Bombyx mori: one gene and its partners. The protein of the gene in region 3 binds, or shares a complex with, the protein of the main gene of each other region. Links are inferred from orthologs where the notes say so. Each region holds a gene or a part of one and is shown on either strand. Other genes may lie near its edges.

The links.
Region 1: WASH complex subunit 1 (region 3) and WASH complex subunit 4 share a complex: the UniProt entries of both Homo sapiens proteins name them as parts of the WASH core complex. The link is inferred for Bombyx mori from reciprocal best matches to the Homo sapiens genes WASHC1 and WASHC4.
Region 2: WASH complex subunit 1 (region 3) and WASH complex subunit 3 share a complex: the UniProt entries of both Homo sapiens proteins name them as parts of the WASH core complex. The link is inferred for Bombyx mori from reciprocal best matches to the Homo sapiens genes WASHC1 and WASHC3.

What each region holds. Positions count from the first base shown.
Region 1 is NC_085118.1:10,740,097-10,743,857, reverse strand, and holds the start of WASH complex subunit 4, read left to right. Parts: upstream 1-894; coding exon 895-1,172; intron 1,173-1,339; coding exon 1,340-1,506; intron 1,507-1,685; coding exon 1,686-2,176; intron 2,177-2,288; coding exon 2,289-3,761. UniProt on the Homo sapiens protein: Acts as a component of the WASH core complex that functions as a nucleation-promoting factor (NPF) at the surface of endosomes, where it recruits and activates the Arp2/3 complex to induce actin polymerization, playing a key role in the fission of tubules that serve as transport intermediates during endosome sorting.
Region 2 is NC_085118.1:943,653-946,943, forward strand, and holds WASH complex subunit 3, read left to right. Parts: upstream 1-909; 5' UTR 910-1,058; exon of another isoform or gene 1,059-1,105; intron 1,106-1,192; 5' UTR 1,193-1,265; coding exon 1,266-1,322; intron 1,323-1,479; coding exon 1,480-1,644; intron 1,645-2,027; coding exon 2,028-2,300; 3' UTR 2,301-2,673; downstream 2,674-3,291. UniProt on the Homo sapiens protein: Acts as a component of the WASH core complex that functions as a nucleation-promoting factor (NPF) at the surface of endosomes, where it recruits and activates the Arp2/3 complex to induce actin polymerization, playing a key role in the fission of tubules that serve as transport intermediates during endosome sorting.
Region 3 is NC_085123.1:2,973,282-2,976,942, forward strand, and holds part of WASH complex subunit 1, read right to left. Parts: intron 1,296-3,661; coding exon 1,163-1,295; intron 1-1,162. UniProt on the Homo sapiens protein: Acts as a component of the WASH core complex that functions as a nucleation-promoting factor (NPF) at the surface of endosomes, where it recruits and activates the Arp2/3 complex to induce actin polymerization, playing a key role in the fission of tubules that serve as transport intermediates during endosome sorting.

The DNA of each region.
Region 1 (3,761 bases), on a different chromosome or scaffold from region 3:
CACAACTATTTAGTATCATTTTGTTGGGTACCTAGTCACTGTGGCATATCTGGAAATGTGAAAGCTGACAGTTTGGCCAACAGTGCTACTGTGACCGGTGACGTATACCCGTACAAGAATTTTGGCCATGATCTTGCTGCTTTGCCCGGCATATGCCTCCACAAATCGTGGAATATGTGTTGGGAAGAGAGCGGCCGGATTAAGGGTCGTTTCTTGTATGCTATACAGTCTTCCGTTCCCAGGAAGCCATGGTTTGCCAAATTGTCGTTTGGTAAAACCGCCACTTCTACTATAATTCGTATGCGTCTGGGACATAACAGCCTTCCAGTTCATTTGCACAAACTTGGTATCGTAACTGGTACCGCCTGTGAGTGTGGCGAGAGTTATTGTGACCTGAATCATATTTTCTTTGCTTGTTCTTTATATGATCATTCTTCCTTATATACTTCTTTAGTATCTGTCTCTGTTCCCCTTCCTACTAATATTTCTTTACTTCTTCGAGATTTTAATCCCCTTGTATATAGTATTTTAAGTAGGTTTATTTTAAATAATAACATTAAACTATAATTTTGATTTATTTTCCCTGTTATATAATTATTCTGATTTTTTTTGTAAATTCAATTCGTTCTAAATCATTTATGTTTTGTTGCGATAAGTTTCCTTCGTTTTTTATTATTTATAAACTGTAAATAAATAAAACGGCGAATTATAAAAACATTATTACTTGACGCTGGCTAATGCACAAAACGTGCCAGAGCCAAAAATAAAGAAGAAGAAGAATAAACATCAACAAAAAACATTTTAAACAGAATTATCGTAATTAATAGTCAACAAAAAGTACATAGTGATTATTTCTTTCAATATTATTTTAATCTGAAATACAAGTGCATAAAAATGAAAAGTGATTTCGAGAAAGAAAGTACAAGCAATATTTTAAAAAAATATGGCATATTTTTCAAGATGCAGTATCAGGTTTTGGCATTCAATTGCAATAATGAAATACTAGATGATAATAAAACATTTTTGCCGATTCAATTACTCATGAGTCCACACGAGCTCGTACCAATTACTGAGTTAGTAGTATCGGATAACACATTTATGACTAAAGTTTTGAGTGTGTTTACTTCCTTATGTGTTGAAGTAAATAACTTGAAAGAGGAAGCCTTTGAAAAGTGAGTTTTATTTATCGAGTTTCCGAAAATCCACAGTAATAATAGCTATGATTGAACTTTATAAAAATTCTCATTTTTATGAAGAAACATTCCACAGTTACGTCTAAGCAGAAGTGTAAACTTTTAATTATGCAAGTGAATGTAGCAATATTTTAATTGTGTTTCAGGTATTTTATCTACTTGGCTGCTTATGAAAAATATGAAACAGAAGATGTGAGTTCCCAGATGGAAATGATATGCTTACTCTGCGCATTTATCATTCGATGTGATGAAACTTTAAGAAACATGTGCAACCAAGTTTTTGCTTTGTTTTCCGATGGAACTGTTAATCTCAGTGAGTTTACTATTAATTATTTTTGTTCAATATTACATGGTTAAATTAGCATATTATTTTTTTATTTGATTAAATTTATGCTATCACTGAAAGTAGATAGCCCCGACATTAGTTGTAAATTTCGAATTATTAAAATGAAATTATTCATTAATGACCTTAATACTAACATGATATTGTAGATTGCATTCAACTACACTATATCATCAACCACATTGGAGAGATATTTACTATTCTTGTCTTACTTGAAATACTGATAGCCAATACTTCAATGCCCACAAATTGGAATAAATTTTGCAAAACATTAAAAACATACCATAACAAGAACTCGGCAGCTTTAGATATTACTGAAGAGAAATTTAATGCAATGATGGGGGCTATTAATAACATCACAGTCAAAATAATGAATGATGATATTGTACAAAAATCATTACAAAGTGTATCACTATTGAGAAAGAACTTGATTGACAAGAATTGTTCTATGATAGCAACAGAGTTTTCACACTACCTTAAACAGGGAATTATAAATTTGGACAAACTTGTACAGGAACAACCCAATGTTCGAAATATGTACAAATGTATTAAAATTAATAGTTTATTTGTATTGTCTTCACAATTGTTTGGTAATGTAGACAAGAAGATATTTAAGTCATTAGTGGAATTGAACACAAAGGTTGGTGTTAATTTTATTTATAGCAATTGTAACTTTTGTAACATTTACACATGGCACAGACAGAGAGCCAGCTGAAATGAATAAAGTTTATACAAACAGTCTTATTTTTCAGGCACACAGTGTTCATGTGATTGGAACAACTATGTGGTATCCTGAGCAATTTCTACAGAAACATGCCCCTGCACTTTGTGCAAAACAGGAAAAATTATCACAAACTATGTTGAAAACACGGCAATCGTATATCAATATGAAAAAAACTAGCCTATCTCGTGATATAATTAATCTTCAAATAGTATGTGGTCAATGGGTGTTAAATATTGAAGATTTCTTTTCTGCTGATCATCATAGGCTTAGTGCTGCTGAAATGAATTTACATTCCAGAACTCTTTTAAATGGCTTGGACCTAGCATCCAGAATCAATCATGAAGTTTTGACATTGATAAATTTACATCTTTCCCTTGGGATACCTCTTCCAAAGAGTATGTTAATGTTGGTATTTGAGATAATCAATATTTTAAAATCAATGCTGAATGCAATATCACGGCATAGAAGCCAAATAATTTTATCTATCAATATGGTCATTCAACATTTTGTATTCCAAGCAACATCAACAATATTAGAAGTAAAGAAATTATTAGTTTCAGACAAGAATTTCGCAAATAAAAGATTGGATGAACTTACATGCATCGTTATTGCAGAAAAAGCACTTCGTGGCGTAGCTACAATTGAACGAAATGTAGTAGCTAACACAGCACTGAGCTTTATACCTGAAAGTACTTATTTAGAAGACAGCTATGTAAAGCTTGGTTTGTTGTTAGAGAATGTTCAAACATTGACAAACTTGATGAAATCAATGGAAAGTTTTTGCAATTGCTCTTGGCTGTTCTGGCATCAGAACATATTTCCAATTTACTTTGATCAAAACTTTTCTATGCAATTGAGTACTTTAAAATTAAAATACTTCTTAATGGCCTTAGAAGACTGTACGGTGCTATTACATAAAACAGATAAATTATTTGATAGTAATATAAAAGAAGATTTTATGGAAACAGTTAAAAAGTACATGGAACAAAAATTTATCAAAGGTGCAAGTCAGAATATTGAAACAAATTTACGATTGCATATACATTCACATCTTCAACTTGATGTAATCAATCCATTTACTTTTGAAATGGTAAAAAAATTGCTTCTAGCAATTAATACTTTTAGAGTTCAGTACATTTACATGTGTGTTGTGCCATCAGTTGAACACTATCTTTCAACAATGTTCTACAACCTAACTACCGTTGTATTATCAGATTGGAAAACTTATGGTGAAATGAGACAAATGGCGAGACTAAAATTCAATTTAAAAACGGTTCAAGATAATCTCCCAACTCAGACTCTGGAGCAGGGCCTAGATATACTAGAGATTATGCGCAACATTCATATATTCGTTTCGAAGTATCTTTACAATCTAAACAATCAAATATTTATTGAAAGAAGCAGCAACAATAAACACTTGAGCTCAATTAACATTCGACATGTCGCCAATTCTATACGGACTCATGGTACTGGGATAATGAACACAACAGTGAATTTTACA
Region 2 (3,291 bases), on a different chromosome or scaffold from region 3:
AATGAAAGAAGAACACATCGAGTAGATATTAGATGAGTTGATAATGAAACAATGGTGCTTACTGAGAGATCAACGAACTTATTTTGAAAATATTCTCGAGTGGCAGCCACACACGACGCAGCTTAGATAGACTTTCGACGAGGTGAACTGACGTCCTACTGAAAGTCGCAGGAATCTAATAAATACGGTCGCTGCACGTCTAGGAGTGGATGATTTGTGTGAACACGTCCAATGTTTGTTTGATTTTTTAAAACTTGTGCCATTTCACATGTATTCAGTGATTAAAAAGCTTTCATTACTACAAAATTAGACATTTTATTACAGATACATTCGCGAAGCAGTTGCCCTTAGCTGTTAGATCTCCTACGGAGTCGTGGCCAGGTCAGGCCTTCGGTACTTTGGAGGATTGGCTTGTGCGGCTTTTCGAAGCCTGCCTTGAGCCCGGACGGAAATCGGACAGATTCATCCTTCTGAGGAAAGAGGAGCTCCTCTAGGAGTCATCCGTGGTGTACCACCACATCGTGTTGCTGGACGAAACTAGAAAATTGTTGGAGCAAGTCGTGGATGCGTCATCTGCCCCATCCCCAGGACGGGTTCCAATCGGTCAGCCGAACAGTACGGCTTCAGAAAGGGCCGGTCTACCATCGACGCAATCATGCGTGTGTGTACCCTCTTTGATGAGACTGTTGCCCGGGGCGAGGTGGCAGTTTCCTTAAAGTCTCAGTAAATAACCATCATTTTACTTAGATTTCACGCCAATTGATTATTGTTTCAAATTAATCAACTCTATTTCATTTTACTTCATATTATCATTTTTCATAAAATACAATGATAACTTAGGCTGTATCGTATGATACTTTTGCCTTTCCAGTTGGAAAAATAGAACTACTACAAATATTGACAGTGGACAGTAGCACTATTGTCAAAGAATAGTGTTATATTGATAAATGTAAATTAATGATAATAATGTCAGACTTAGGTGGTGGTACCGTACCTACTGTACCTACTGAAATATTCCTTTTAATTTGCTTACATACTCTTTTAACGTAAATAAATAGGTACGACTGTCACGGAAGGAAAAAGATTGTTATTGTAAAATAATTAGGTGCTTTTTATATTAAACTTAGTGTAATTAAAACTCGTGGACCTATTAGTCAATGTATTGAAATGTAATTCAATTTGGTTTTTTCAGTAGAACAAAACAAATTCAAGCTTCCAAACCACAAGACAAATTTCTTTTTCGTCTTGTTTATATTCTACTGAAAATGACCATCCAAGAAGATTTAACTCAATCCGAATCCCCACAAACGGATTTAACTAAGGTTTTAAATTTGGAATTATTATTATTTGTTGTAAAATTTAATGCAGTACAAACTTCACGGCCTTGATTATCTTTATAAACTTCCTAATTCTAGAAAACACAATATTTTTTTATAAATGAGAATAATTTATTTTTAATATTTAAAAAACAAATTGCAGGTTGCGGCATTACATCAAAAACGTACATTGGCATTTGTAAATCATTTCCTAACAATAAATGTACAATTTCTGAATAACTTTATGACGAATTGCGAGCAGAAACTGATGCAGTTTGAGAGAAAATTAGAAAAAGTTAATGCTGCCATGGTTTTGTTAGAATCTAAGGTGATTATATTTTTATAAATTATTGTATGTAAACAAAAACGGATATCTAAAATGTTTTTATTTTCTATCATTAGTCATAATAAACCATTTCTGCAAGACCTTCTCTGGAAAGCTGTTGATTGATCTGATAAAGTAAGAGCAGCCTATTGATATATTTGCAATGCATAAAGCTTCAATTGAATTAAAAAAAAAACGGTCTCCTACCAGATTAGAAATTAGACTACTACTAATTTTAAGATATGGCATCATTGCATTTCACCATAATCCTTATTCAGGTTGTGTTTATGCCATTTCTTTAATTGCCCATGTGCCTCAAAAACTTCATTTTAATTGATAGCATACATCAAACCGATACATAAATAGATAAAACTTATTGATTTCAGTTATCTTCAATACCAGAATTAGACATTCCTAAGCAGACAAATACAAGTAATGTTACAGAGACTGAATCTACTGAAAGTCAAAATGAAACAGAACTCCAAGAAGAAAATCTAGAAAGAAAACTAGAAGACCAAGCCCCAGCAGAAATGAAAACTAAACCTGAATATGATAAATTTGTTAAAATGGTTCAAGTAGGAGTGCCATTGCAGGCAGTGAAACTCAAAGTCTCGTTAGAAGGTCTCGATCCTGAAATACTGGAGCAATTAATAAAATAAAATAATATTTTATTATTTACATTATTGTGTTGTTAGCATAGTATGATCAAATAACCATAGTGTGTAAACCATAGTTTACTTTTATAGAACAAACAATAGAACAGTGTATTCTGTGATACCTCTAATCTAATGGGATCATAAGTGTAAAATTAATAAAATAAAATAATATTTTTTTTTTGTTTAATTGTAATCAACGTATAGTTTAGAAAATATTATCTTTTATCTATAAAAATATCATTCTAATTGTTAAAATTGTAATGTTTTTGTTCTTATCGTTTTAAATAATGTAATAGGCTCAAATATTTAAGTAGCATTCCTTAATATTTTTATGAAATGTTGAAAATGTTGTTTTTAATAAAGGATTTTATAATCATGCAAGATTATTGATCACATAGAGGTGGACCTAGAAAAAAATCATTAAATACTTCTGAAAGTTGATATATGCTTACTATTTTAATTAATTTATTTTGTGAAACATGTTGTATGCGATTTATTCCTTTTTTTGCAAATAAATAGTATTCTTATAGGGGTAGTAGGTGTATTGATTTATGAGAGATTTATTTGACGTAAAATTGGCCATGTCAGTTAGATTGTGTACAATCATGCTACAGAGATACTATTATATTATATTCTAGTAACAATAATAGGCACCTATAGGCATCAAATGTTGTACCATCCTAAGTAATTGCAGAAATAGTTCTCTGCCAGCACCCTGATAATAAATAAAAATAAGGCTGGCCATACCATTAATATTTTTATGAGACATATTAATTAATGCTAAGCATGATTTTTTTATTCCTACTCATAGAAGTTATAGTTATAGTATTACCATACGATGTGGATGGTAATAAAGTATAGGTGCAATAAATGGGAGGTTTTAAGGATGCATCTGGTCCAAAGTGGTGACCTTGATTACATATTGATAAAGTTCTTAGAGCAAAACCAAATTAATCTGAACTTTTTGTCGAGTATCCAATAAGATGCTAAAACA
Region 3 (3,661 bases):
CACCGAGAGTGAATCCGGGGGATCCAACAAGACATGTTTCGGCGACGGCGGTTTTGCGTTGACAAAATGACCTACATCCAGTAAGAAAACTTAGGTATGCATATTGATGATCATTTCAAAGGTATTTCGGTAGGTCTCAAAATTAGCTCTATACTCGTTCAATTTTTTTTTCCTACCTAGCTGAGAGCCTTGAGAGGCTATTTCAGCGTAACCTTAACTACTAGGTGAACTCACGGGGCTCAAACCTGACGACGTTGCTAACACGAACCCTAGCGAGAGCCGTGCTTCGCAGAATCTACCACCGGATCGGAAATGCGACCCACTGAGAAGATCCGGCGAGAAACTCAGTGGGCTGTGTCTGAGGGTTACTCGTTCAAGAGGTCATAAGTTCGACACTAAGAATGTTCCGCCAAGTTTTTTTAAAGCTATATTTAGTAACTAGCGACCCGCCCTCGCTTCGCTTCGGAAACATTAAAACAAACATGAAACCAAAAAAAAAAATTTAAAAAAAGTAGCCTATGTTCATCAGGGACAATGTCGGCTTCTAATGGAAAAAGAATTTTTCAAATCGGTCCAGTAGTTTCGGACCCTATTCGAAACAAACAAACAAACAAATCTTTCCTCTTTATAATATTAGTATAGATAACGTAAGGCATGTTTACACGTGTTATTGACACGAGCAATAGACAAGTTTTAGACGTTCTCTATTGAGCAAGCATAATTTCAAAACAAATGACCCGGTGCCTCATTTAGTTGTGGTAAAATAAGATCCTTGAGTGTTTTTAATTAGAGCCTATTTCCTTGAAATTGACTTATAGTATCTGTGGTCAAATATTCGTGTTACAAAAATGGCAGAAATACTTCGAGACAGTATTAGATTTAGGGTAATTTTTTTTATATTTATGTACCGACTCGACATTGCCTATATTATGTACCTACTACGTTTTTGATTTGACACTGACTGACATTACGATGTGACAACAGTATAATTATCTATCATTTATCGTACCGTTTTGCACGCTGATTCGAATACTTTAGTCGACCACGGAATAATATTTTTAAATTTCGATAAAATCAGACACGACGACCGCCAATCGAAAGGTCAAGTACTAAACCAGATATTAAGATTATGTTTTCAACATTTGATTCAAGATATCCTTACCTCGGGTGCTTCAGAATCGACCGCGTGCCGTAACTTCGCTCTCCCAGCACCGCCCGCGCTCCTGATCGCAGCCATGAGGTCCGCGTGAGCATCACCAGTGCCGGGAGGAGATAGCGGCGAAACTTTCTCTTCACTGTTAAACAAACGGAGTCATTTTAGAACAAAATGTGGCCACCGTCACTCATTAATTTTAACACTGCCGAGCAGAGAGCCCAGTCCCGCTGCCTGATCTTGAGGACTCCCTTATAAAGAATATAAGACAATATAAGCGTGCTGTACGTGCAGAGCCACTAGTAGAAGTTCGTTTAATCCATTTAAAAATCATGAGTTTACATTCATCGGTAAATCTTATTTTTATAATTTACTATATAGCTGACCCGGCAGACTTCGTAGTTCCTCAATCGAGAAATAAAAGACTTAAACTTTTGTATAAAATAAACTTAAAACAAACAAAAGGAACTCGTCCGAAAAAAAAAAACAAAATTGTTATTTTTATTTAATTCCGAGCATTTTCATATTTATCTACCTTTTAAACCTTCTCTGGAATTCCACAAATTATTCAAGACCAAAATTAGACAAATCGGTCAATATAGGAGTTAAAAATCATTTTTCAAATTTCAACATACATTGATGCACGAACTGGGATATTGAATGCGATTGCATTACGATATGTAAATGATGTGAGAATTGTAAAGCGAACATTGATTATCGTACGTGAGCTTGTCGCGCGACACGGCCAAGGCCATTCCGTAATTATGAACCAGTACAATATACTGCTCTGCTTGTGAATTTATTAATAGACTAGCTGACCCGGCAGATTTCGTAGTGCCTTAAATAAACTTAAAACGAACAAACGGAATCCGTCGGACGGGGGACACATCAAAGGAAAAACAAAATTGTTGTTTTCATTTAATTCCGAGCATTTTCATATTTATCTACCTTTTAAACCTTCTCTGGACTTCCACGAATAATTCAAGATCAAAATTAGCCAAATTGGTCCAGCCGTTCTCGAGTTTTAGCGAGACTAACTTCGATCAGTACTATTATTGATCGAAGGAGACTAACGAACAGCAATTCATTTTTATATATATAGAAGAAGAAGATAGAAGACAAGATCAGTAAAAGCTTCGTTTATACGATCCCATTTATTTAGTGTACAAGAAAATAATGTTAATTCAATTTTATTTTTTATTATTGATAATATAGGTGAACGAGCTCACGACACACCTGGTGTTAAGTGGTTACCGGAGCCCATAGACATCTACAACGTAAATGCCAACGCCCATCTCGAGACATGACTTTTAAGGTCTCAGTATAGTTATACGGCTGCCCCACCATTCAAACCAAAACGCATTACTGCTTCACGGCACAAATAGGCAGGGTGGTGGTACCTACCCGTGCGGACTCACTAAACGTCGTCGTACCGCCAGTAAAGCTAATTATGTAGGTAAAGCAAATTTTAATTAAATGCTATTATGCTTCGAATAACACAAACAAATTACCAAACTTCCACTAATTACCCAATTTAATTTCTATTTTAATATTGGCTGTCCATTTTTTTTGTTACTAAGGAGCTACGACAAAGTAAAGAAGGCGCAATTAGGTAAGATAATGGCACCTAATTGTGCGGGCTCAAATACGCCCTACTGCTATATCAATTTATCCGTCATAATGTTATTGGCAGATGTATAAAAAACAGGAAGACGCGACAGGAAAAATAAATTGATTCCCATGTATCTACTGAAGTATCACACGCATCTCATGCGTGACAATGAGGGATTGAGATTTGAATTGAGAAGCGAATGAAGTGGTACGAATATGTTTGTGATACTTAATAATCGCATATTTACATCAAAAAAATATGTTATTTATTGTCATTTATTATTATTATTATTTTTATTGCTCTGGTGGGTGGACGAGCTCACAGCCCACCTAGTGTTAAGTGGTTACTGGAGCCCATGGGCATCTACAACGTAAATGCGCCACCCCCCTTGAGATATAAGTTCTAAGATCTCAGTATAGTTACAACGGCTGCTCCACCCTTCAAACCGAAACGCATTACTGCTTCACGGCAGAAATAGGCAGGGCGGTGGTACCTACCCGCGCGGACTCACAAGAGGTCCTACCACCAGTAAAAAATTAGTCAAAGACATGAACTTATCTCGGTCGTTATTAATGGTTAAAATGCCCGGACGACTGAAGTGTCATTAGATTTGAATATTGTGCTAACTAACGCTAATTATTTCACGAGTACATTAGATCCCCGTACGAATACGTTGCTAGCAGGTTGCGCAATACCGTCTTTACCATAAGGGCACACGGGGCCCGTGCCCAGAGCCCCCATTCTCAGGGGGCCCCTAAGGACCGACAATTTCTCTCACACATTTATTCTCAAAACATTTTTGTTGGGCGCATTACACTTTTTTTACAAATCAGTAATCTTATCAGAAGGTATTTACAAGGCATATACTACGCCATTATATCGATGACTGCGCCTAT